Linked DNA regions of Mus musculus. The protein of the gene in region 4 interacts with the protein of the main gene of each other region in a pairwise test. Links are inferred from orthologs where the notes say so. Each region holds a gene or a part of one and is shown on either strand. Other genes may lie near its edges.

What was found.
Region 1: the proteins of Emd (region 4) and Abt1 interact in binary tests that used the Homo sapiens proteins (3 or more experiments, as listed by UniProt). The two-hybrid records come from large-scale screens. The link is inferred for Mus musculus from reciprocal best matches to the Homo sapiens genes EMD and ABT1.
Region 2: the proteins of Emd (region 4) and Kash5 interact in binary tests that used the Homo sapiens proteins (3 or more experiments, as listed by UniProt). The two-hybrid records come from large-scale screens. The link is inferred for Mus musculus from reciprocal best matches to the Homo sapiens genes EMD and KASH5.
Region 3: the proteins of Emd (region 4) and Traf3ip3 interact in binary tests that used the Homo sapiens proteins (3 or more experiments, as listed by UniProt). The two-hybrid records come from large-scale screens. The link is inferred for Mus musculus from reciprocal best matches to the Homo sapiens genes EMD and TRAF3IP3.
Region 5: the proteins of Emd (region 4) and Meox2 interact in binary tests that used the Homo sapiens proteins (3 or more experiments, as listed by UniProt). The two-hybrid records come from large-scale screens. The link is inferred for Mus musculus from reciprocal best matches to the Homo sapiens genes EMD and MEOX2.

The regions. Positions count from the first base shown.
Region 1 is NC_000079.6:23,420,727-23,425,346, forward strand, and holds the start of Abt1 (activator of basal transcription 1), read right to left. Parts: upstream 3,141-4,620; 5' UTR 3,107-3,140; coding exon 2,860-3,106; intron 1,957-2,859; coding exon 1,757-1,956; intron 1,610-1,756; coding exon 1,247-1,609; 3' UTR 1-1,246.
Region 2 is NC_000073.6:45,194,554-45,198,599, reverse strand, and holds part of Kash5 (protein KASH5), read left to right. Parts: intron 1-1,988; coding exon 1,989-2,093; intron 2,094-2,445; coding exon 2,446-2,632; intron 2,633-3,006; coding exon 3,007-3,071; intron 3,072-4,046. UniProt on the Homo sapiens protein: As a component of the LINC (LInker of Nucleoskeleton and Cytoskeleton) complex, involved in the connection between the nuclear lamina and the cytoskeleton.
Region 3 is NC_000067.6:193,198,677-193,203,266, forward strand, and holds the start of Traf3ip3 (TRAF3-interacting JNK-activating modulator), read right to left. Parts: upstream 2,871-4,590; 5' UTR 2,619-2,870; intron 2,323-2,618; 5' UTR 2,217-2,322; intron 1-2,216. UniProt on the Homo sapiens protein: Adapter protein that plays essential roles in both innate and adaptive immunity. Plays a crucial role in the regulation of thymocyte development.
Region 4 is NC_000086.7:74,252,899-74,257,656, reverse strand, and holds the start of Emd (emerin), read right to left. Parts: upstream 2,971-4,758; 5' UTR 2,706-2,970; coding exon 2,624-2,705; intron 2,450-2,623; coding exon 2,342-2,449; intron 2,205-2,341; coding exon 2,127-2,204; intron 1,915-2,126; coding exon 1,781-1,914; intron 780-1,780; coding exon 733-779; intron 651-732; coding exon 320-650; 3' UTR 1-319. UniProt on the Homo sapiens protein: Stabilizes and promotes the formation of a nuclear actin cortical network. Stimulates actin polymerization in vitro by binding and stabilizing the pointed end of growing filaments. Inhibits beta-catenin activity by preventing its accumulation in the nucleus.
Region 5 is NC_000078.6:37,177,001-37,180,294, reverse strand, and holds the end of Meox2 (homeobox protein MOX-2), read right to left. Parts: intron 2,143-3,294; coding exon 1,918-2,142; 3' UTR 761-1,917; downstream 1-760. UniProt on the Homo sapiens protein: Mesodermal transcription factor that plays a key role in somitogenesis and somitogenesis and limb muscle differentiation. Required during limb development for normal appendicular muscle formation and for the normal regulation of myogenic genes.

The DNA.
Region 1 (4,620 bases), on a different chromosome or scaffold from region 4:
CAAGTGGGCAAAGGATGTGAAGATATTTGTGTCCCATTTAAACACTCACCAAAAGGTGACTTCAGCCAAGGAGGAGTTCAATAATCAAGTGGATTAGATGACCCGTTCTGTGGACAGTCAGCCTCTTTCCCCAGCCATCCCTGTCATTGCTCAATGGGCACATGAACAAAGTGGCTATGGTGACGGAGATGGAGGTTATGCTCGGGCTCAACAACAGGGACTTCCACTCACCAAGGCTGACCTGGCTACGGCTGCCGCTGAATGCCAGATCTGCCAATAGCAGAAACTAACACTGAGCCCCAGATTCTTTGAGGTGATCAGCCAGAAACCTGGTGTCAGGTTTACTACATTGGACTACTTCCTCCGTAGAAAGGAGATCTCTGAGTTCAAGGTCATGTGGGACAAAGCAAGTCCCAGATCCAGGAATGGCGGCACACACCTTTAACCTGGGCCACATCTTCTAAGGAGACCTACATAATGACATTGGAAGAAGGAAGACCCTCCTTCACCTGCTTGTCTTGTGGGACTGAGCAACTGCTAGACCCTTGCACTTCCATTCACAGGTGCTCCTGACCACTGTTGGGAGTTAAGACTACAGTCGGTAAACCATCAACAAATTCCATTACTATACAGAGACTACCCATAAGTTCTGTGACTCTACAGAACCCTGACTAACACAGGAGCATTGGGATCATATCTGATAGAGTAACTGAGATTCATGGGTGGAGGAGAATCATGCCTGTGCTAAAGTAACTGAGCGGCATGTATGGCTTCAAAAGAAGTTGAAACTTACTTAATGAAAAACTAAAAAGCATATAAAAATAAATTATTTTTTATTTTCAAATATAAGCCTCAAATTGGACCTCTAATCCAATTCCTGCTAATTCAGCCTTCCACCACAGTGAACAAACACCACAGACCACTACCCTAGTGGAGGGCAAGTCCACTCTTTCAGTCAGAAACTGTTAGCTGTCCACTGAGAAAGAGGCAGGCAATCAGAAATCAAACAAAACACAACAGGCACCTCCAGTGGTCTTCACCCTGGATAGGACGAGTAAGGTTCTCAGGCTGGCACTTACAGGATTTGTTCAAAGTAGGTAAAAGACACCAACAAAAGGCCTTTACCAGACTCTTGGTGTGTGGAATAGAGAAAACATCTGCCTAGATGGTCACACTCTTCAGGAAGCAGATCAGAATGGCGCAGGGCTGGTAGGTATTTCTTCCATCACCAGGAGTCCCTTATTGACTACGGTTTTTCCTTGCTCTCTGCAGGTAGAGGGGCTCCAAAGATCTTGGCAAGGAGCCCTCTGTTGGATCGGGCCTGGTCCTCGACATTAGCCAGCCGTGCTCTTTCCCGCCCTCCTGGCCGTGCAGCTTTCCGGGCCCTAAACTCCTGCTCAGTGGGACGCTGGGTGAATGTCCAGGAGCTATTTGGCCGAGTAGCATCCCCATCAGCTGCAAGGAAGTGTTGTCCCTGTTCTACGTTTCGAAGATAGAAGTCAGTCTCTCTCTTTGCTTGGGCGACCTCTGCTCTCAGGCGTTGCCTTCGTACTTGGCGCTCAAAGGCAAGGTGTTCACTGAGGTGGGACCAAGTAAAACGATGCAAATACTGTGAGAAGGAAAAGAAGAAAAGGTCACGGTAGGGAAGGTCGGGAGAAGAAACTGGGAGCTGCTCAGAGCTAGCAGGAAGGATGGGGTGCCTGGACTAGAGCTGGAGGGGGGAATGAAGATGTGGCAGACAAACTGAGAACCTCACCTTGAGGTTCCACAGGTCATAACGGAAGGGGCTGCGCTTGCGGGCGCCCATGGGCGTGTTATGTAGACTGGCTGCCACTCGCTTGGCTACACGCTTGTCTCGGAACTCCACCCAGCCTTCGGTATAGTCCTTGCTGTACTTAGCTCCCTTCTTTCCTCCTGCGGCCGCGGCTGCCTTCTTCTTGCGTTTCACAAAGTGGTCTGTAGGCCAAACACAATGAACATCCCATCAAGCACCCACTGAGACACACCTCAGTTTAGCCGTAAGCCACACCTGCTGGTTTAGGCGCTACTTTACAGGGATTGATGAAACACGGCTGTCTGTAAGGGGCAGCTCCTCCTTTCCTTAATTCATGCCTCCCTTCAAATGACAACTTCTTGAACATTAGAACAGCACCAAGAACAACACCAGTCCCCACCTCCATTTCCAAGTTGTGCATGTCAAGAGGTGGAAGAGAGCCAGGCATGGTAGTGCACGCCTTTAATCCCAGCACTTGGGAGGCAGCAGCAGGCGGATCTCTGAGTTCGAGGCCAGCCTGGTCTACAGAGTGAGTTCCAGGACAGCCAGAGCTACAAAGAAACCCTGTCTCGAAAAACAAACAAACAAACAAACAAACAAAGGTGAAGAGGCTGAAGGAGGCTAATCATACAGTTTCAGGGACTATTTGAAAATTGAGAGGGCTGGAGAGATGGCTCAGTGGTTAAGAGTACTGACTGCTCTTTCAGAGGTCCTGAGTTCAATTCCCAACAACCACATGGTGGCTCACAACCATCTGTAATGGGATCTGATGCCCTCTTCTGGTGTGTCTGAAGACAGCTACAAAAAGTAGTAAGTAAATAAAATTTTAAGAAATAGAAAGAAGAGAAGATCGTGGGTCTCTTTCAGGCCTTATTAAACCACTCTCTCTATCCACTCACCCTCTCCATTTCCCTTCCCCGCCCCTGCCTGCCACCTAAAGGACGTGAGTACTACACACTTAGCAGCTAGGAAGGGGCCACAGCCTTCCAAGAGCCAGCACCCCACGCCTCATTCGTGTACAGCCAAGAAAATGAGTCGCGCCCGGCTGCCCGCATCGTCACCTCTCCTTTCGACGCAGGGCTTACCCTCGGCCTGGAAGAAAACGCGTCCCACCTCGCCGTAGGCGCTGAGCAGGTTGCGTACGTGAAGGGGCCGGAATCGCGGCGGGACGTGGCCCAGGTACACAATCCCCGGAACTACCTTCTTCTTCTTCTTGCTGCTGCTGCTGCAGGCCGTGTCCTCGGGCTCCTCCTGATCCTCCGCCGCCTCTGCATTCGCCTCTTCCTCCATCGCAGCCTTTTGCTGCTCCACCAACTCTCCCGCTTTCACCATGGCAAGATCTGGGGAGCACGACAGCCGTGAATCTGTCGCCATCTGATGACGCACATCCTGCGAGCCAATCTGCGGTCGGGGCCAAGAAATGACGTAAATCCTGGGTGCGGAGGGGCGGGGCAGAGACAGACTGGGCGGGGCGGGAGGGGCGAGGCCAACAGACTGGACTGAGGAGAAGGGTTGGGAGCCGCAGGACCTGGGTCCCGGTAAAATACTTCCGTCGCGCGCAGCCCTCATCTGAGGCAAGCTCTCACGGAATATTTTTATTTTTTTTACAAATGTGCATGAATGATTTTTGCCTCCATGCATCAAGAGCGTACCCTGGTGCCTCTCGTGGGATTTTTACAGAACAGAGTGTTGAAAGAGTGTGTTGTAGAGACCAAAACAGCATTTTCTTCCAGGTCTGTGGTGCGAATGTGGTTGAAAGGTTAACACACATTTTAAAAAGTTTTATGAAGTTCAACTTGTAAACTTCAGTCTGAGCCTTGAAGTTTTAATTATTTGAAGTTTCAACATATTATTTGAATTTTTATTTTATTATTTGAATTATATGAAGTTTTAACATTTTAAAATTAAAGTTTTTGAAGCAGCTTATAAATTTGCACGCATTCTTTTGGGATTTTAATTGGAGTTGCGGTTTTAAAATTTTAAACGCGCCTTTAGTAATTTTACATTTCACCTTGTGAATACTTAAATCTGTAACTGTTTGAGTAAAAAGCTGAGTACTATTGTGTTCGAATCTGTGCAAGTTGATGAGCGAAAGGTCCGGGTTGCAGGTCTCAGCCTCGGACCAGCCGCCAGGGGGCGCGGTCCGCACATCAGCAGGCCGCCTCGCTTTTGGGACCTACACGCCAGGGCCAACGCAGAGGCGGGCCACAGCAGCTGATGACGCTCGAGCGATGATGCCTCTGCTAGAAATGATGTACTAACCTCCCCTCCTGCTTAACGGACGGACGGAGAGCAGGATGATCCTGAGGACTCAAGTTGTCCCTCGTCAAGGCCCTACATAATATTTTATCCTTCATCATCACGATGACATATAGAAGACAGGGCAACTGTGTCCACAGACTCTGGGCGTTATTTGTAAAGCTGAGGTGCTTCTGAGGACCTAATAACTAAACCTGACTTTGGGGACTTGCATTGAAGAGAACTTGCTGTTGGTTACCTCTGCTCCTTTTATGAAAAGTGAATATGGAGAGAAAAGACCCCTACTTTTAACTTTTAACTGACTACTTCACCAACAATGATGACACTTGAGAGCGTCTTATAGTTACTTCAAAACATTGAGAACTGGGGGAGGGGCACATGTAAAGAAGACACAAGAGTGTGGTGGCTAAGTGGCTTTCTGTACTTTGCACGTGCTTGAAATTATTGTTAATGAAATATTTGTACACATTAAATGCCAAATAAATGCCAAGTAAACTGGAAGTCGGGGCAATCCTGTAATCCTCAGCTCTTGGGAGATGGAGAAGAAAGGAAGTTCCAGACCAACCTGGGCTACAAGAGACCCTTTT
Region 2 (4,046 bases), on a different chromosome or scaffold from region 4:
AGATTGCAGACTGAAAAGGAAGAACACACCCACAGGGGAAAGCCGAGGCTGAAAGACAGGGATGGCAAAGAAGAGAGAAGGCGCTTGGGACAGAGTATCAAGATTAAGATAGAGTACAGGGTGGGGGGAGAAAAGGGACTGAAGGACACAGGACAGAGGCTGAACATGTGAGAGAGGTTGGGGAAAAATGAGAACAATGGTCCAGAAAGAGCAGGGTGGTGGTCATGCACGCCTTTAACCACAGCACATAGAGGCAGAGGCAGGTGAATCTCTAAATTCAAGGCCAGCCTGGTCTACGGGGTGAGTTCCAGGACAGCCAGGATGCCAGGACTACACGGAGAAACCCTGTCTTGAAAATCCCCCCCCCCAAAAAAAAAAAAAAAAAGGAGAGAGAGAAAGGGGGGGGGGGACGGAACAGTGTCTTCCTTCAGGACCTCAGGAAGGGACTATGCACCATTGGCCTTTCTGGGCCACAGCACAGAGTCCTCCTCTGTAACACGGGACGGTGGAGAGCAGTAGGCCAGCTGAAGTCTTCTACCTCCCCAAACTAACCTGCCCTACTGCCCTCCCATGGGAGCCAGAAGAGTCCAGGTCAAACTGGGGTACAGCATCCTGGAAGTGTCAGGGTGAGAGAAGAGACTCTGTGCTGGAAGGTGCCTGTGACCGCTTGTGCTGCCCGTCTGCCTCAGACTCCTCGTGTAGGGATAGGAGCTGCTGCGGTGCTGACGCTCCATGAGTGCCTGTAGTTACAGACCACGCAGAGGCCCACCCACATGCATCCATTTCTTCCCCAAAAGGGAGGGGGGCTTTCTCAGAGGATACTGCTGACACTCAGAGGGGGTGGGGGGCAGGACAGGGGTCTCTAGTGCCAGCTCAGACTCTAACCCTGCAGCCATGTGCAATGGGCACTCATCTCAGCAGGCCAGGCTGTCAGAGGTATGAAAGCCACCTCCAGCTTGGAGAAGCTCTGTTTATTGAGTGCCTGCTGTATTCATGTGATGTGAATATAGCTAGCTGCAGGCCAACAGACCCTGGAAAACAGGAACATAGGCAGGCACACAGTGGGTCTGAGCCAGGTGAGAGCTGCCCTACCAATACACACAGGCCACACACACATATGAACACACACATGTAAACACATAAACACTCCACATTTGCATAGACACATGTGCACATACATTGACACACATGCATACACATATTGCACATACACACCCAAACATCACACACTCACTCCGACACTCACACCCACACACACATGCCTGCACTCACATCTTTACATATGCAGAAGGAACAACCCTCTCACCCTCCTGAGGGGGGTTTTACTGACACAGAAACAGACCTCCCAAAGAAGAGGCTTGCCACAGACATGCTGCAGAGCTGCTGAGTCAGGGGAGTCTGGCAGGAAACTCAGCTCCTAACCAGTCCCCTGCCACCCCCTGCTTCCACAGCCCCATCCCTCCTCTTTATCTTGGTGTTGGCCCTGAGTCCTCCAGCTCTGATGACGCCATGCTGAGGATGTGGAGAGGAGAGACTTGGTCCCTGGGGCAACTGGGAGAAGGGCTGCAGCGGGTGGGATCGATGGAGGCTGCCCACGCCTTATTGGATTGTTCCTGGCTCCTCGGCCACCTTCATCCTGCCTCCCCCTTGCTTTCCTCAAGCCTGGTCCCCCCTGCCCATAGCCCGGGAGACTGGAGGAGGGCAGGGCTGAGGGTCATCTCAGAGCTCATTAATGGCTTCCAGAGTCCATTGGCTAACCAAGCCTTAGGCAGACAGTAGGGGCATCTCCTAGCCTAAGAGATGGGACTGCTTGAGAGCAGTGACTCAAAATCCTCCCTGTTGCCACCTCCCTGGAAGCCTCCCGCTGTCCTTTACCAGTCCCCACCACAGAGCTTTCAATGAAAGTCCCCCAGACTCAGCAGAGCCCAGGCATTAGGATCATGCTCCTGGTGTCTCCGCATTGAGAGGGGACCCCCTTTTCTCTACAGTGTACCTCTGGGAACAGCCCGAGGAAGCGAGTTCAAGGCCACTGCTCAGCCTAGAGGAACAGATCCTTAACTCCACATTTGAAGCCTGTGACCCTCACAAGACAGGTGGGGGCTGGGGATCCACAGGAAGGGCTGGACCCGGGCTGCCCTGCTTAGGGGTCCTTCAGGAGTAGGGTAAGGGCATGGATCAGGGGATGAGTAGCGGGGCTTGGGCCCCAGGTACATAGTTAGCCTCTGGCCTGGTTACAGCAGTGGCTGCTGCCCTGGCTCATGCTCTTTGGTCCACTCTGAGATGGACTGGAAAACTTAACTCAGGAGAGGGACTTGCCCCAGGTGGCTCTGCATGCTGTAGGGCAGGCGTGTCATCAACCTGCTGATGACAGACACTGTTCTTAAACCGTGGCCTGTCCCACTGGCCATTGCCCAGTCCAGGTCTCCCTACCATGCTCTGTCCCAGGCACTGTGACTGTGGCCCACCTCCTGGCCTACCTGGAGGCTGTGACAGGACAGGGACCTCAGGATGTGCGCCTCCAAACACTGGCCCGGAGCTTGGACCCTTATGGAGAGGGTGCTGGAGCCACTGTGGAACTGGACACCTTTCTGGTGGTCATGCGGGACTGGATTGCTGCCTGTCAGCTGCAGGGGTGAGTCCCTACACCAGCAGCCTCCTACCTAGGAAGACTTTCCTCACGTCTGCTCTGCAGTCAATACTAGTTAGGCCCAGGAACCCCGTGTGGTTGGCTTGGGACTAAGGAGAGGCATCTAAAAGGACACGGAGGGGTGAAGGGGTCTGAGAACCAGCTGCCTTGGGTGATGGTGCAGGGGTCCAAGTAGAAGGAGCAGGGCGACCATAGGAAGGGCTGCCCTTCACAGCCCAGGCCCTGCCATCTGGCTTCACCCTTACCCATAGAGCCTCTCTCCCTACAGCCCTCCTCTCCTCCATCACCCCACACCTCTGTAGGCACAGGTCATGGCTGTGGTGACCACAGGGGACCTGAGCCTCTTGCCTTTGATACAGGGGATTAGAGCGGGCAGAGGAGACCGCCTACGAGGGAGCCCTGGCTTCTCCACACCTGCCATCTGGTGAGACTATTTATAGAAGGCGCTGGGTGGCAGGGGTCAGCGGGGGTTAGCAGGGACTTCTCATCTACTCGCTCCACACAGCAAGGGCTAAAGAGATCTGGGGCCTTTGCTCAGCCTGCAGCTGTGGTGGCTTTCTGGTGCCTTTGGGACAGTCCCACTCTGGACTTCAGGCTCAGGTTTTCCAACCCTTCCTCCCATCTCCAGCCCTAATGTAGAGCCTGAGGGGACTGCAGCCTCCACGGTATCTAGCTGAGGCCTGGGGCACCCACACTATGAAATCTTCACTTGGCACAGGGCAGTCTTGGCTCCCCATCCTGCCCCACCACACACACCTCGTACACCTGCTTCCCTTCCCTTGAGAGCAGACATCTGTCCCAGCTGTATCCCAGCCCTATACTGGGGTGCTGAGTGCAGGAACTCACACCTCAGAGGTGTATGGCTAAAACGTGGCTTTACAGAACCCAGACTGTAGCTCTCTTGGCATTCTTTTTTTGTTTGTTGGTTGGTTTGGTTTCAGAGGGTTGTTTGTTTGTTTGTATTTGTTTTGTTATTGTTTCTTTGAGACAGGGTCTCTCTCTATAACTCTGGCTTTCCTGGAACTTACTATGTAAACTAGGGCTAGCCTTGAACTCACAGAGATCACCCTGCCTCTGCCTCACTACTGCTGGGATTAAAGACTTGCAAGACTTGAATCTTGAGGCTTCTGTTTTGGGGGGCAGGGAGGGCTGTGAGCAGCAGAGGGGTAGGTCACGTAGACAAGTCGGAGGGTGAGGCTGGAGAGTGCCCAGGGAGAGACTAAGGGAGTGGTAGAGCAGAGAGTCCAACAGATGGCAGGCTGCTAGTGCGGAGGCCTGAGGAGGGAAGCTGGGGCCAGGAGAGGAGTGGCTTGGGAAGTGGAGGTATCTATCTAGCCCTCCTGACTGGCTCAGAGACCTGGCTGAGCTCCAGGCCAGTGTGCGCAAGCAGCCTATAGAA
Region 3 (4,590 bases), on a different chromosome or scaffold from region 4:
ACTCTCAGCTGCTGATCAAGTCAGTCTGTTAGTTGAGGACCTTAAAAATGCTTGATGGTTCATTTCAGAGAATCTGGTTCAGGGACTCAGAGGGGGAGATTCTATTCTCTTAGGATCACCTCCCTGCCAGACTCAGTCTGGTCCCCAAATCTTCCATCTATCAAGCATGTGGGGTGCCTTCAACAGGAATCCTAAAAATCATAAGAAACAAGACAAGAGAAACCTATATAGTGGGAAGTCCTCAAGGAACAGTTTTCAGGACAGGTCACCCTTGATGCCCCTCTAGGTGGCCTTGCCTGGCATCCATATAGTGCCCCAAACCCTCATCTTCACCCATCAGCTATGGATTTGGCTAGACTTATTTTGGGCTCTGGTAGCCTGGTGGAACCAGGGCTGGACTCAGATGAACTACACCCCGCCATCAGAGATTGTACCCTGCCTCCTATACCCTCTGGGGTCAGACTGTGGTGATGGAGGAAGGTCCTCGTCACAGCCGCTGCCTCTTCTCTATGACCTGATTATCCCACTGCCCAGGAATTCAGTTCCTCCATGGTTTTGCAAACACTGACCCCTCATGTTTATAGGCTGCACAGACTCTGCAGGAAGAGAGGTCCCTGTGTTTCTTTGTTGGGACTTTGATGCCTATCCTAGCACAAGACCGAGTCCTGTGCAGGCTTCCTATTCTCCCTCTGGTCACAGTACTCATTCACATGGCTGTTGCTGGGCAATCTCACTCTCTGGAGGGCTCTTGTGTGACTAAGTCCTGTATACTTTTAATTATCTGACTCTAGAGGACTGGAGGGACACTCTCTGCCTTGGGCAGAGCTTTCCCCAAGGACTGAGGTGTTGTTTGCCTTTCTCTCAGGCTTCTTCCCACTCTCCCTCTGTGGGGCTCCCTAGATCTGCCACATGTCACCCTGTTTATTGAATTATGTAGAAAATGAGCCAAAAAGCCTACTTGTGTTTTGTCATAAATGAATATATAGAGGAGACTTGGAATTACATACATGTGCATCTTCAAGCCACAGCACCCGATTATTCTGTCTTCACTGAAGGAGGGGAACCCTTGCTTTGGGGCCAGACTGTGACTCACTTCTAGGTTGTCAATACCCACCAAACAGGTATGTGTGTGTGTGTGGGGGGGGGGGGGTTGCTAAGCCTCAGTGTTCTTATTTATAAGATGGGGCTAAAACTTCCCTTGAAGGGGCATGAACCTTAAAAGACAACACCCAACACCCACACCATATACCTACCACATGGCATATGATAAGCGACAGCCTTTTAAAAATAATAGATATAAAAATATTGTAGTTATCATGGCTGGCGCTGAATACTGAAAACTTGGTGCTGTGAATCAAATGCCCCAGGGAACGCCAGACTGTAGGACAGAGAATGATCAATTTTGCCCTCTGACTCCCCTACTCCCACTCTCAGTTCTGAACAGGGCTTGTAGCTCCATCTTGGAATAATTTTACTGTGGTTCCTGTAGTCTCTGAGTTTGGGTTACAAGGACAAAACACTTCTGTGTGGTCTGGATGTAATCATCAACTCAATTAGGTCAGACAGGAAGTCAAAGAACAGGTAGGTGAAGAAAGGAGATGCCATTATAAGTGTGAGGGCTTAGGCTCCCCACTGTGGGACTTACCAGAGGGAGCTCCCAGGTTCCCTACCTTCCAGACGGGAAGAAGAAAGGTCTGAGGGGTTGAGAACAGGTCTGTGAGGATGTCTCTTCCTGTTCTCCATCTATTGTCTGTAGGGCCACTGAAATATGGCTATTTTACTCTCTGCATCATTAGGTCTTAATGCTTAGGAAGTTGCAATAGGAATGGCTCCCTAGAGAGAGGAGTGTCTCCAAACCCATAGCCTTCTACACCTCCTGGGGTGTGGCGTGACACCTGTATGGAACCACACAGCCTTCTAGGATGGTGGGATCATCCTGGCTTGCTTTAACGCAAGTAGGCTATGGAAAGTCTGATGGACAGGGACAGGCTATAGAAAAAAAGGAACTGGTCCTGTAGTTCAGAAAAAGGTCACAAGGCCACTGCCCAGGATTTCTGTAGTTTCTGAGGTACCCCTGGCCAACATGAAAGGGCCTAGTTAGAGCTCGGAGGAAGGGCTAGTACTGGCTAGGGAAGGCTCTCCTTCCTGCACAGGAAGACAGCAGCACACTGCCCCTCAACTACAGACATGTTGACTTGCCACAGTTTTGCACCTACCTCCTGGCTGTGTATGCAGAGGAGATGATGGGTGGCTTCCTACACGAATCTGGCCTTCTTAGTTCAGAGTTCTCAGCGGGAGCTGAAGAGCCTGTTACAGGGATCCCTACATTGAAGGGATTGGGAAAAGTCATTTAATTTGTGTTATGGATGCAGAGCACACCAACACCAAGCCATGCAACTCACACCTAACCGAAGCCATCAGACGGAGCAGAGCTGGGAGCCATACCCTGTGGTTGCCTGAGGTCTCTAGCACAGGATGTTTTTTTGTCATACAAGCCCCATCGAGTACATTCTACCACCTGCTGCTACGCAGGAGGCTGGCATGGCAGAGCGTATTCTGCCCCACCCTAAGTCAGCAGATCCAAACCAAGATCCCAAAGCATCTTCCTCCACAGTTACCTCAAGTCCCAGGTTCTGTCTCAAGTGTCTCAGGAGAGCCTTCAGCCCTTTCTTTCTAGGTCTCTCTGGTCTCAGAAGGCTGGGGAAGCTGTCAAGCCGAGTTTCTGAAGAAGTTTCTAAACCCCCTCACCATTTTCTTCTTATACTGACGTTATTTTCGCACAGCAGCATGCTGAAACAGGAAACACAAGCCACAGTGTTCACAAACCTCAGTTCCTCTCCTTGCCCTTAGCAATTTGAGAGGGCCCCTGCACTCTTGGGGCCTCCAGGGCTGGTGAGGAAGTCCACCCAGGCACCCACTCTCCAACTACCTGATTGGTCTGCTCTCTGGCAGTTTCAGCCCAGTATTCACTTCCTCTGGTTGGTGCTGTAGCTCGGTAGGTAGAGTGCTTACTTGCCTAGCAAGCACAAAGCCCTAGACTCCACCCCCAGCATTAAAAGCCAGACCTGAAACCCCGGCATTCAGGAAGTAGAGGCAGGAGGACCAGGAGGTCAAGATCATCCATATTGAGTTCAAGGCTAGCCTGAGCTACATGAAACCCTGTTTAAAAAAAAATGTTTTTCTAGGACTACACAGGGATGAATTCTGGGCCATATCTATACCTTGCCACTTCTGTGGTAAGACCCAGGAGGGATGTTTCTCATACCATCTAGCTGTTTGGAGTCTCTTTTTCCCAATACTGGCATTGGGTAGAGTCTCCTGTGGTCTGAAGGATCTGTGTGTTTTGTGGAGTTCCAGATCCTTGAGGGCATCCTGGATTCATGTCTTTATGAGGCAGTGTGGAGGGGTGAAATATGGAGGGCTAGAGGGCAGAAGGCAGGTAGCCAAAAGAATCTGAAAAATCCCAGTGAATTGAACTAAGAAATTTTGGGAAAAATTAAAGAGAACTGATACATTAAAAAGAAACTTACAAATGGGAAATCCCAGAGCAACTCAGGATAGATAAACAGGAAACTGAGTTTGTACAAGTTCAAGGACTGCTCTGCAACCTTCTGAACAAGCCACTCAGTATGGAGACTATACAGTTCGAAATGTGTGAGGCAGGTGTGAGACAGGTGTGAGGCAGGTGTGAGACAGGTATGAAGCAGGTGTGAGGCAGATAATGATATATTCAAGTAGCTAGGATAAGTTTTGTTAACATGGAGAACTTATCACAGTCCTCTTCATGACTGCTATTTCCTCATTCTCTTAAGAGAAAAAGTCAAGAAGTAGGCAGGAAGGAAGCACGCAGGCCAGATTCTTATACTAGAACCCAGACCAAGGAGGCTCCTAGGGTGAGAAATACCCGAGAACACAGGGAGACAGGAGATTGTATCAGAATTGCCATAGATCCTTTTGGACTTTATTAAAAACTATATAGAAATGTATACAGAGATCAAATTCTTATCTATGGCTGGGTACTCTTTGGGTGCTATACTCATGCTACTGGGACTAATGTTAATGCAAGTTCAAAGTCACATAGCATGGGTTCATGAGTACATGGGTACATGAGTGCATGAGTGCATGGGTGCATGAATACATGAGTGCATTACCAGCCCAAGTAATTTATTCTAGAATAAAGCTCCAGGTACTTTTATTAGTCTACTAGTGGTATCTATCTATCTATCTATCTATCTATCTATCTATCTATCTATATGCTGTGGTTTGGATCCCCCAAAGTTCCACATCTCAGAGCCTAGCTCCCCACCTCAGCACTGCTGGAAGGTGCTAGAATCTTGGGAATGGGCTTATTGGGAGGCAGTTAGACTGTTGGTAGTGTGTCCTCAGAGGGGAGAGTCCATCTAGGCTCTTCTCTCCACTTTTTACTTTCTAGTCATGAGGTGAGCTTTTGCCCTATCACGAAGTTCTGCTCTGCTGTTCACCTCATCACAGGCCTGGAAACGTCTGAGGTAACTGATCATGGAATGAACCTTCCAAACTTCTCTCTTCATAACTTATTTTTTGGGGGAGTTTGTTAAGGCGAGGGAAAGC
Region 4 (4,758 bases):
TGCATGACAACTACCACTGCCACCACCAAGTTTTCCTCTAATGAAGTGAGGTCCTCCCACCAGACCCCGGTACCCTAAGGGTCAGAGGCAATAGGGCTAGGAGGCTCCAGAGGAAGGTACAGGTAGGCCTACTGGGCTGTAGAAGGCCAACATTTGCTGCTTCCTTGGCAGGATGAGGTGGGAGACAAGCATTGCCTTAGGCTAGACCTTGCACCCAACTAGAACACACAAAAAAGCCCCTACCCTCCCCACCCCCAGCAAACACCGATAAGGCAATCAGCCAAAACTCCTGGTAAGAGCTGCTCTAAAACCAATACCCTTAGGGATCCATCCAGAAGGGGTTGCCTTCTTCAGCTTGTATGGAATAGTAAACAAAGAGCAGAAAGGCAGCAAAGACCAGGAAGAGTAACAGCTGGCCCCAGAGTGGGACCTGTCGATCCTGGCCCAGAGCAGCAGCAGGGGCCTGCTTCTCTGGCCGAATGGCACGTCGGGTAAGCCATGAAGAGGGAGAAGATGAAGAGGAGGACACAGAAGAGGTGGAGGATGTAGGATAATATGATAAGCCCAGAGAGCTCCTGGAGACATTGGAAATGGGGCGGTAGTGTGCGATGCTCTGGTAGGCACTGTCTTGGCCATAGATGAGGCGCTCCCTGTGGCAAAAGAAGGCAACAGGTAGGCAGGAGAGTCTGAGACTCGAATTTGTCCCTGTCCCTACATATGTTCACTACTCACCTATCCTTGCCTTCCTCTTCTAAAGAAGAGAAAATGTCATCACGCACCTGCAGAATAATTAGGATTAGAAATGGGGAAGAATGGTTTTCCTTAAATGTCTCTGGCTAGCCTGCTCTAATCATATCATAGGGACCAGAAAATTGCCCCCCCCTCCCCCATTCTGAGTATGTGGAGCCTCTTTATCTGTGGGGCCTTGCTGCTCAGTTACTAACCCTGTTGACTTTGTTCCAGCATCCTTTTATTCCCCTGGATTCTCAGGAGGCTTAAATCTATATCGTAGATTAATTACTAGAGTGCAGGAGCTGTTACATATTCTCTGATCAAAAAAGTTTGTGGGCTGAAGAGGTGGTTCACTGGTTAAGAGCACATATTATTCTTCCTAGGTACCTGAGGTCAATTTCCAGCACACACATCAGGCAGTTTACAACTACCTGTAGCTCTAGCTCTAGTGGGAATATGACAATTCTCACCTCTGTAGGTGCCAGCACTCATGCATACTACCCACAGACATGTATGTGAGAATTCTGGAATTTTGGCTTTTTTAAGAAACACAGAAATATTGTAAGAATATGTTTTTGTTTTAATCTTAGGTGTGGAATATGGGGCTGCTTCACAGCAGCTAACTATGAGTTGCCTCATGCTTTTAGCAAAGGTGTGTTTCTGTGAGTTTCAGATAGTTTCTACAATTGTGTGATATTTGGAATTCTGGGAATTTTTCATTACTGGGGGTGAAGTGGGGGGGGGGAAATACCCACAAACTAACAAAAATTGGCCACACATATGTATAATTAAAGTAATTAAATCTTTTAAAAAAGCCAAAACCCCAAAACATTTGTTATGTGCTGCTGGAGATGAAACCATAGGTAAATACTCTTCTGCTGAGCATCCCCAAATCCAATAGTTTTGAAGGTTCCAACATAGAATTTTTAACCCGACAGCTGTATGCTGACCCTAACCAGATTTGAAAGCCTAAGATCCACTCTCTGCACCTATCCAAACCTAGAATTCCCTAAGGCTGCACCCCAGGTATACCTACCAGCCAACTCACCTGGTGATGGAAGGTATCAGCATCTACAAGTGAGGTCCCCGGCTGGCGGAAGCTCTTGGACATGCCCACAGACTCAGGCTCCCCGTATGTCTTGGTGGTCAAATAACTCTCCTCATAGTAGTCATCATTATAGTCTTGGGGAGGAAAACAGTGGTAGAGGAAAAAGTGGTGCCCCTTAACTGGCCTCCTCTTCTCCCTCCCCAGCCTGTGTGTGCTGTGTCAGTTTCTCCCCTCTGAAGCCACTGAGAACTGGTACAAGGAGGTGAGGGAGGTCTGGGGTTTCCCTGTGCCCAAATCCCGGAAGCATGGGATAAAAACATCAGTGCCCACCCTATACCTGCCTTACCCTTGCTCTGGTAAAGTAAGGCGTCTTCTTTTTTGGGCAGATCATACATGTCTGAGTCCACGGCGGCTGAATCCAAGTCTGCATGTGAAGGAGGAGGGACAGGACCATTCGATCTCCAGCCTTCCCCCTACTCCCTCAATAGCTTCGGCCACACCCTCCCTCCCTAAGACGTGTGCCCCAAGCTGCTCTTTGGGGCTCTGCAGTTAAGGGCTCACCTGAGAACTGATAGGAGAATGAAGAAGATGACGAGTTGGGGGGTAAGAGTCTCCTTCTCTGGGTCTCGTACTCGAAGATTTTCTTTTCGTAGAGCTTGCGAGTGGAACCTGCCCAGACACAGGGTGCGAAGCGGTCAGAGGGCGTGAGCCGAGCACCCCAAGAGCACAAGGGAACACGGGGAGGGGACTTGAGGGGAGGGAGAGGTGGGGAGAACGCTCAGGGAGGAGCGCGGGAAAGCAGTGGACCAAGAGAGGTTCTGAGCGCCACCGGGTGCAGCATACCCACAATAGGCCCATGAGGGATGTTGTACTGGCGTAGCACTGCGGCCAGCTCAGTATCGGACAAAACCGCATAGTCGTCCATGGCAGACAAGGCCGGCACCTGGAAGCGGTGTTGAACGCCAGGGGCGGCCGGGGCCTACAGACAGGGCCCAAGAAACCAACCGCTCGGAGCCTAGAAGAAGAAGCGCCAGAGCCTCAAGAGCGGCTGTGGGCGCGTCACGCCGCCGTCACATTTGCGTCACAGCCGCGGCTACGCAGGTTGCGCGCGCTCCTCAGGGCAGGCCCAAACTAGCCAGAACGGCCGGTGCAGACCGGTCTAGCTGAGGGAACAGGCTGGGCTGGCAAACAGAAACGTAACGCTTGTGAGAGATTGGCTCGAACAGGGAGAAGGCGGAGCTTTCAGAACTCGTGCGGCAGCGGTTGAGACTTCCTTTGAGAGCTAGGCCGCCGAGGGGCGGAGCTGGCTGACCTCACTAGAGGATGCTTTAGAGCGCAACTTACTAGGGATGAGGCAAGTGATTTGACCAAAACCGGCTTGTGAGATTTCCCAACCTGTGAGATCTCACATACTTTTGTTACTGGCTTCATTCCTGATTTTATTCCCCCGGTGTTCCAGTGCCTAGGATTCTCAGCCACAGTGTGATCCACAGCAGTGTAAAGCAATCCTGAGAGCGAACCCTTCCAGAGCGCCTAACGCTGCTGAGAGCTCTTTGTATGCTGTCAGACAGGGCTCTCATCACCTAACATAGACACCCACAGAGCCCTGGCACTCCCTACCCATCTCCTTTGGTCTTCCCAGTCTCCATGACCCTGGCCTGCACACCTGCACAGGCCCATTCCCACCGTCGTCTTCTCTAATGCCTAGTTCCATTCGCGAGGAAATGGGGCCAGCACTGGGCCAAGTGGCCACCAGCACTACAGGATCAAGCAGCTTTCCAAAGGTCCAGGGTATGCCAATGCACACAATCAGAGGGCGCCTGCCTGCCTGCCTGCCTGCCTGCCCTGTGATGCATGTAGATCTGTACACCTTGTACCTGCCATACTCACTGTTCTACCTTGGGCCCTGAGGAATTCTGGGGGGAGAGGTCTTCTCTGGCTGAGTAGAATAGTCTCTAAGCTTGGTGTGACCTTAGAGACCTAGACAAGTGTACAAAGCCTAGAGCACTATTTCTCAACCTCCTTAATGCTGCAATCCTTTAATACAGTTCCTCATGTTGTGGTGACTCCCCACCCATAAAATTATTGTGTTGTACTTCATAAATGTAATTTCAATATTGCTATAAATTAAAATATAAATATTTGTTATGCAGGATATCTGATATGTGAGATCCAAAGGGATAGCGACCCCAGAGGTTCTGAACTGCTGGCCTAGAGGCAAACCATGGGAATTGATGGAGGCTTACTAAGGATCTGGATCAGAGAAAGGTTGCCTTGAAGAGTGACCATGACCATTATATTCTACACAAAGTCATGTGGATCTAGGTAGGCTGCCCTTTATTGGAGAGATCTAGAAGAAGGGGTACGCGTAGAAAAAGTGTGTAGGATGCCTGATCTCTTAAATCAGTGCTTCTCAACCTTCCTAATGCTGTTGTGGTGATTCCCAATCACAAAATATTTTTGTTGCTACTTTATAATGGTAATTTTTGCTACTTTATGAGTCATAATGTAAATATTTTTGGAGACAAGGTTTGCCAGAGGGGTTGTAACCCACAGGTTGTCTTAAGTGATAGTGATAGTGAGTACTTTGCTCAGTTCTAGGTTGACCTGATGACACTTTAGTGAAGTTCACAGGCCACTTCTCTATGGAAGTTTAAAGTAGGCAATGGTGAGGAGGTGGACCCCAGTTTTGACCACATACAAAGTGCTTAATGAAGAAGAGTTGCCATTGCATACACTAGCAAGCATTTGCTGAAAGTAACCTGATATAGCTGTCTCTTGTGAGACTAGGCCGGGGCCTAACAAACACATAAGTGGATGCTCACAGTCAGCTATTGGATGGATCACAGGGCTCCCAATGGAGGAGCTAGAGAAAGTATCCAAGGAGCTAAAGGGATCTGCAACCCTATAGGTGGAACAACATTATGAACTAACCAGTACCCCGGAGCTCTTGACTCTAGCTGCATATGTATCAAAAG
Region 5 (3,294 bases), on a different chromosome or scaffold from region 4:
AATATAAGTGAGGACTGGTAATATTCCTGACTCCTTCTGAGTCAAATGAATAATGAACCAAAAGCAAGGTGATAAAGTGATAATAACAGGGGTTTGTCATCCAAGGTCCTGACACCCTCTTAGATGTGACACTGGCTGTGCAATGAGACACCTTATTTTTCTTCTATCAACAATGTCTGTTAGAAGTGGGGTTCTTTTTACGTTTGTTCATCTCATATTTCACACCAAAGCTAGAGATCATGAACGTGAAGCATCTATTTGCAGACTGGTCAGGGAGTTCAATGGTAGGGCATATATCTACCGCGAGTGAGTTTTTGGGTTTCTCACTAAGTACTGAAAAGTTAGATAAGTATAAACTAAAAGTGTTGGGCTAATGCCCATGCATTACCTATAGCTCCTGTAATATGTTTCCATTTCATTTACCTAACATTGCTCAGTATATATATGCCTATTCTTACAAATTTTATGCCATAATAAAAACCAGAAATTATGAATCTTATTTCATAACTCATATCCATTTAGATTTACACAGAAGCAAACAATTTGGAATCTTTTTAAGCATCTATTTTTTTCAAATCTACTAAAATTAACTAGACATGGTTGATCCAGTCTATGATTCTGGCACCTGGATGACTGAGACAAGAGATTGCTGAGAGGTCAGTGCCAAGCTGAGTCACCTAATGACATCTAGACCAGCCTTGATCCCAAATAAAAGAATAAATCTACCAAACCCAATGAAGTCACAGTGGCGAGACAATAATTATTTCAAGGATCATTTATTTATCTTTTTTTTTTTACAAAATACAAGAACTTGTTCTGCATGAATATAGAGCATATGAAAAATAATGCACTTTCAGAGTCTAATTGTCAGACATTCAGTTTCTCAACTATTCTCTTGAAGAATTAGCTTTGTTTGGCACTTGGTTTTATATCATAAACAAGGAGGAAGAAAGCTTTTCCCTGTTAATTGAATCAGACCCATAAACATTAACAACTTAAAGATGTAAAATCAGACATTTGCCGCACAAGACTCGTTCTGCAAGGTAACTGATTTGCCTATGATCCTAATGTCTTTCAAGATATAAGAGAAGAAGGCTGGAGGGGAGCTAGGTATGTTCTCTAATGTATCTGCAGCAGTTGATAGTCAATGCAACAGAAGATTTGCTTTGTCTGTGGTACAAGGATATGTCCTATCAGACTCTACTGCATTTTATCTACTTGAACACAAGTAAGCACATACTGATTTTCTCTGTCTGACACAAATGTATAAAAATACAAGAAGCTGGCTGTGTTTGTCAATGGAAAAGCCTATTTTTAATCAGCTAATATGAATGCATTTGCTAAAATTAGTGAAGACAGGAAAAATGACTTAGGGGTAATATATACAGAGTTTCAGTACATTTTATATCCACTTGGTGATTTCAGGCACTGTGGCTGTTCAAGATAAACTATTTCATGGATTAACTTGATAGCAGTTTAATTTTCAGTGCAAGCAAAAGCAAATACCTGCCTAGTGTCACACACATGACCTGGCACAACTGGAATGTTCAAAGCATTTTTTATTTTTAACATCTTCACTCTGGAGACATCTTGAGTAAAAACGTCTTATCAAGTTTGCTCTTGGTAGCAAATTTAATTTTCAGTGCAAGCCAAAGCAAACATCCATCTCCCTCTCTGTCATATATAGGAACAAGTGTATTTGGAATACGTTCGCTTTCTCCAATTTCACTGTGGAAGCATCTTCAATAAAAGGCACTTAGTGTAAACCGTCTATCCATCATGAGACACAGACTCGAGATGCCTGCATTTAATTATACTAAGCCACACTGCCACAGACATCTGCCATGTAAACGATGTTCGGTAAGGTTTGCCATCACAATGGTGCTTTCCTGAGAATGGAGCTGGTCTTTGTAGGTATCATAAGTGTGCGTGCTCAGAGCTGTGGTCACTATCGCGGCTGTCCTCGTTTGCTAGTGAGTCCCCTGTCTGCTGGAGGGTGGCTGCACCGATTCCTGACAGCTCTGACGGAAGAAGCGTTCCCTTTTTCACATTCACCAGTTCCTTTTCTCGGGCAGCAGCTCCTTGCTGTCCCCCTTTGACCCGCTTCCACTTCATTCTCCTGTTCTGGAACCACACTTTCACCTTCAAAGAGAGGGAATAAGTAAGTCAGCAAAGGCAATAGGACCTAGTTGCTCAAGTGCCTGCGCACATACACCATGATGCAGCAATTAGAAAAAACAGGCAGGATTGCAGTGAGTTAGATTGCATGTGCGTAGTAATGGAAAAGGCTTAGTACATTCAAAGAATTATCGTAAATTCCAACACATAACACAAAGTTACAAATAGGCGAGGAAGTTTGCTCGGAAGCATTGGAGTGGAGTTTCTCATCGATCAAATAAAATATTATGTTTACCTCTATCAAAGTTTACACATTCTCTGAAATTCATCTTTGACTTGACAGTAGAATTTTTACAGGTTTATCTGCTGGTAAATCCACCTCTGAAAGCGCACTATTTACTACGAAAGTCCCTTAACTTGGAAAGGCATGAATTATCTCTCAGCACATCCTTTCAGATCGGCGGGGGGCATGGGGGGCATAATTCACCTCAGTAAAGGACCAGATGCTCCTGATTTATATGGAATGGTGTCCCAATAAAACTATCGTGAAGAAGAGTCTCCAGCCCACCACGGCTAAACTGGGGACTGTCTGCAGGACCTAGCACAGTTGGTTTCCTGATACTCTACAGGAAGTCTGTCTTTACTGGTCTTCTTTCTGCTCTTGCCTTTATTAACGTTTACTTCAGAAATATCATTGAACTGTTGCCAAAGAATGCAGCCACAGTAAAAATTCCTCAGTATTTACCTTGCATCCCCCGCCCCTGCCCGGGTGAATACCCAGAAACTTCCTCAAAGGACTCAAGAGAATGTGACAATCCACCTCAGTAAAAAAAAATTCATGAATTCATATTGATTAACTTATTTCACAAGATCTAGATTTGTCAGCACTTTTTTTTTAATACTAGGACTACTTACTATGTCCTTATTTTGAGATTTTTAAAAAACCTCAGCTAACATAAAAGCATCGCCATGTTTATGATCACTTGGCTTCTTTTGTTTGGTATTTTTCCTTCCTGGTTTGCATTCAATTCTTTACACTATTTCTTTTTAAATTTTATACATTTTTTGCAAGCTACTCTCACCCACTTTCTAAAATAGTCTACTCATATCCCACAGCCATCATTCCCCTGGGTTATAATTCATGCTGTTAAGCCTTCAACAAACTCCTATACCTGT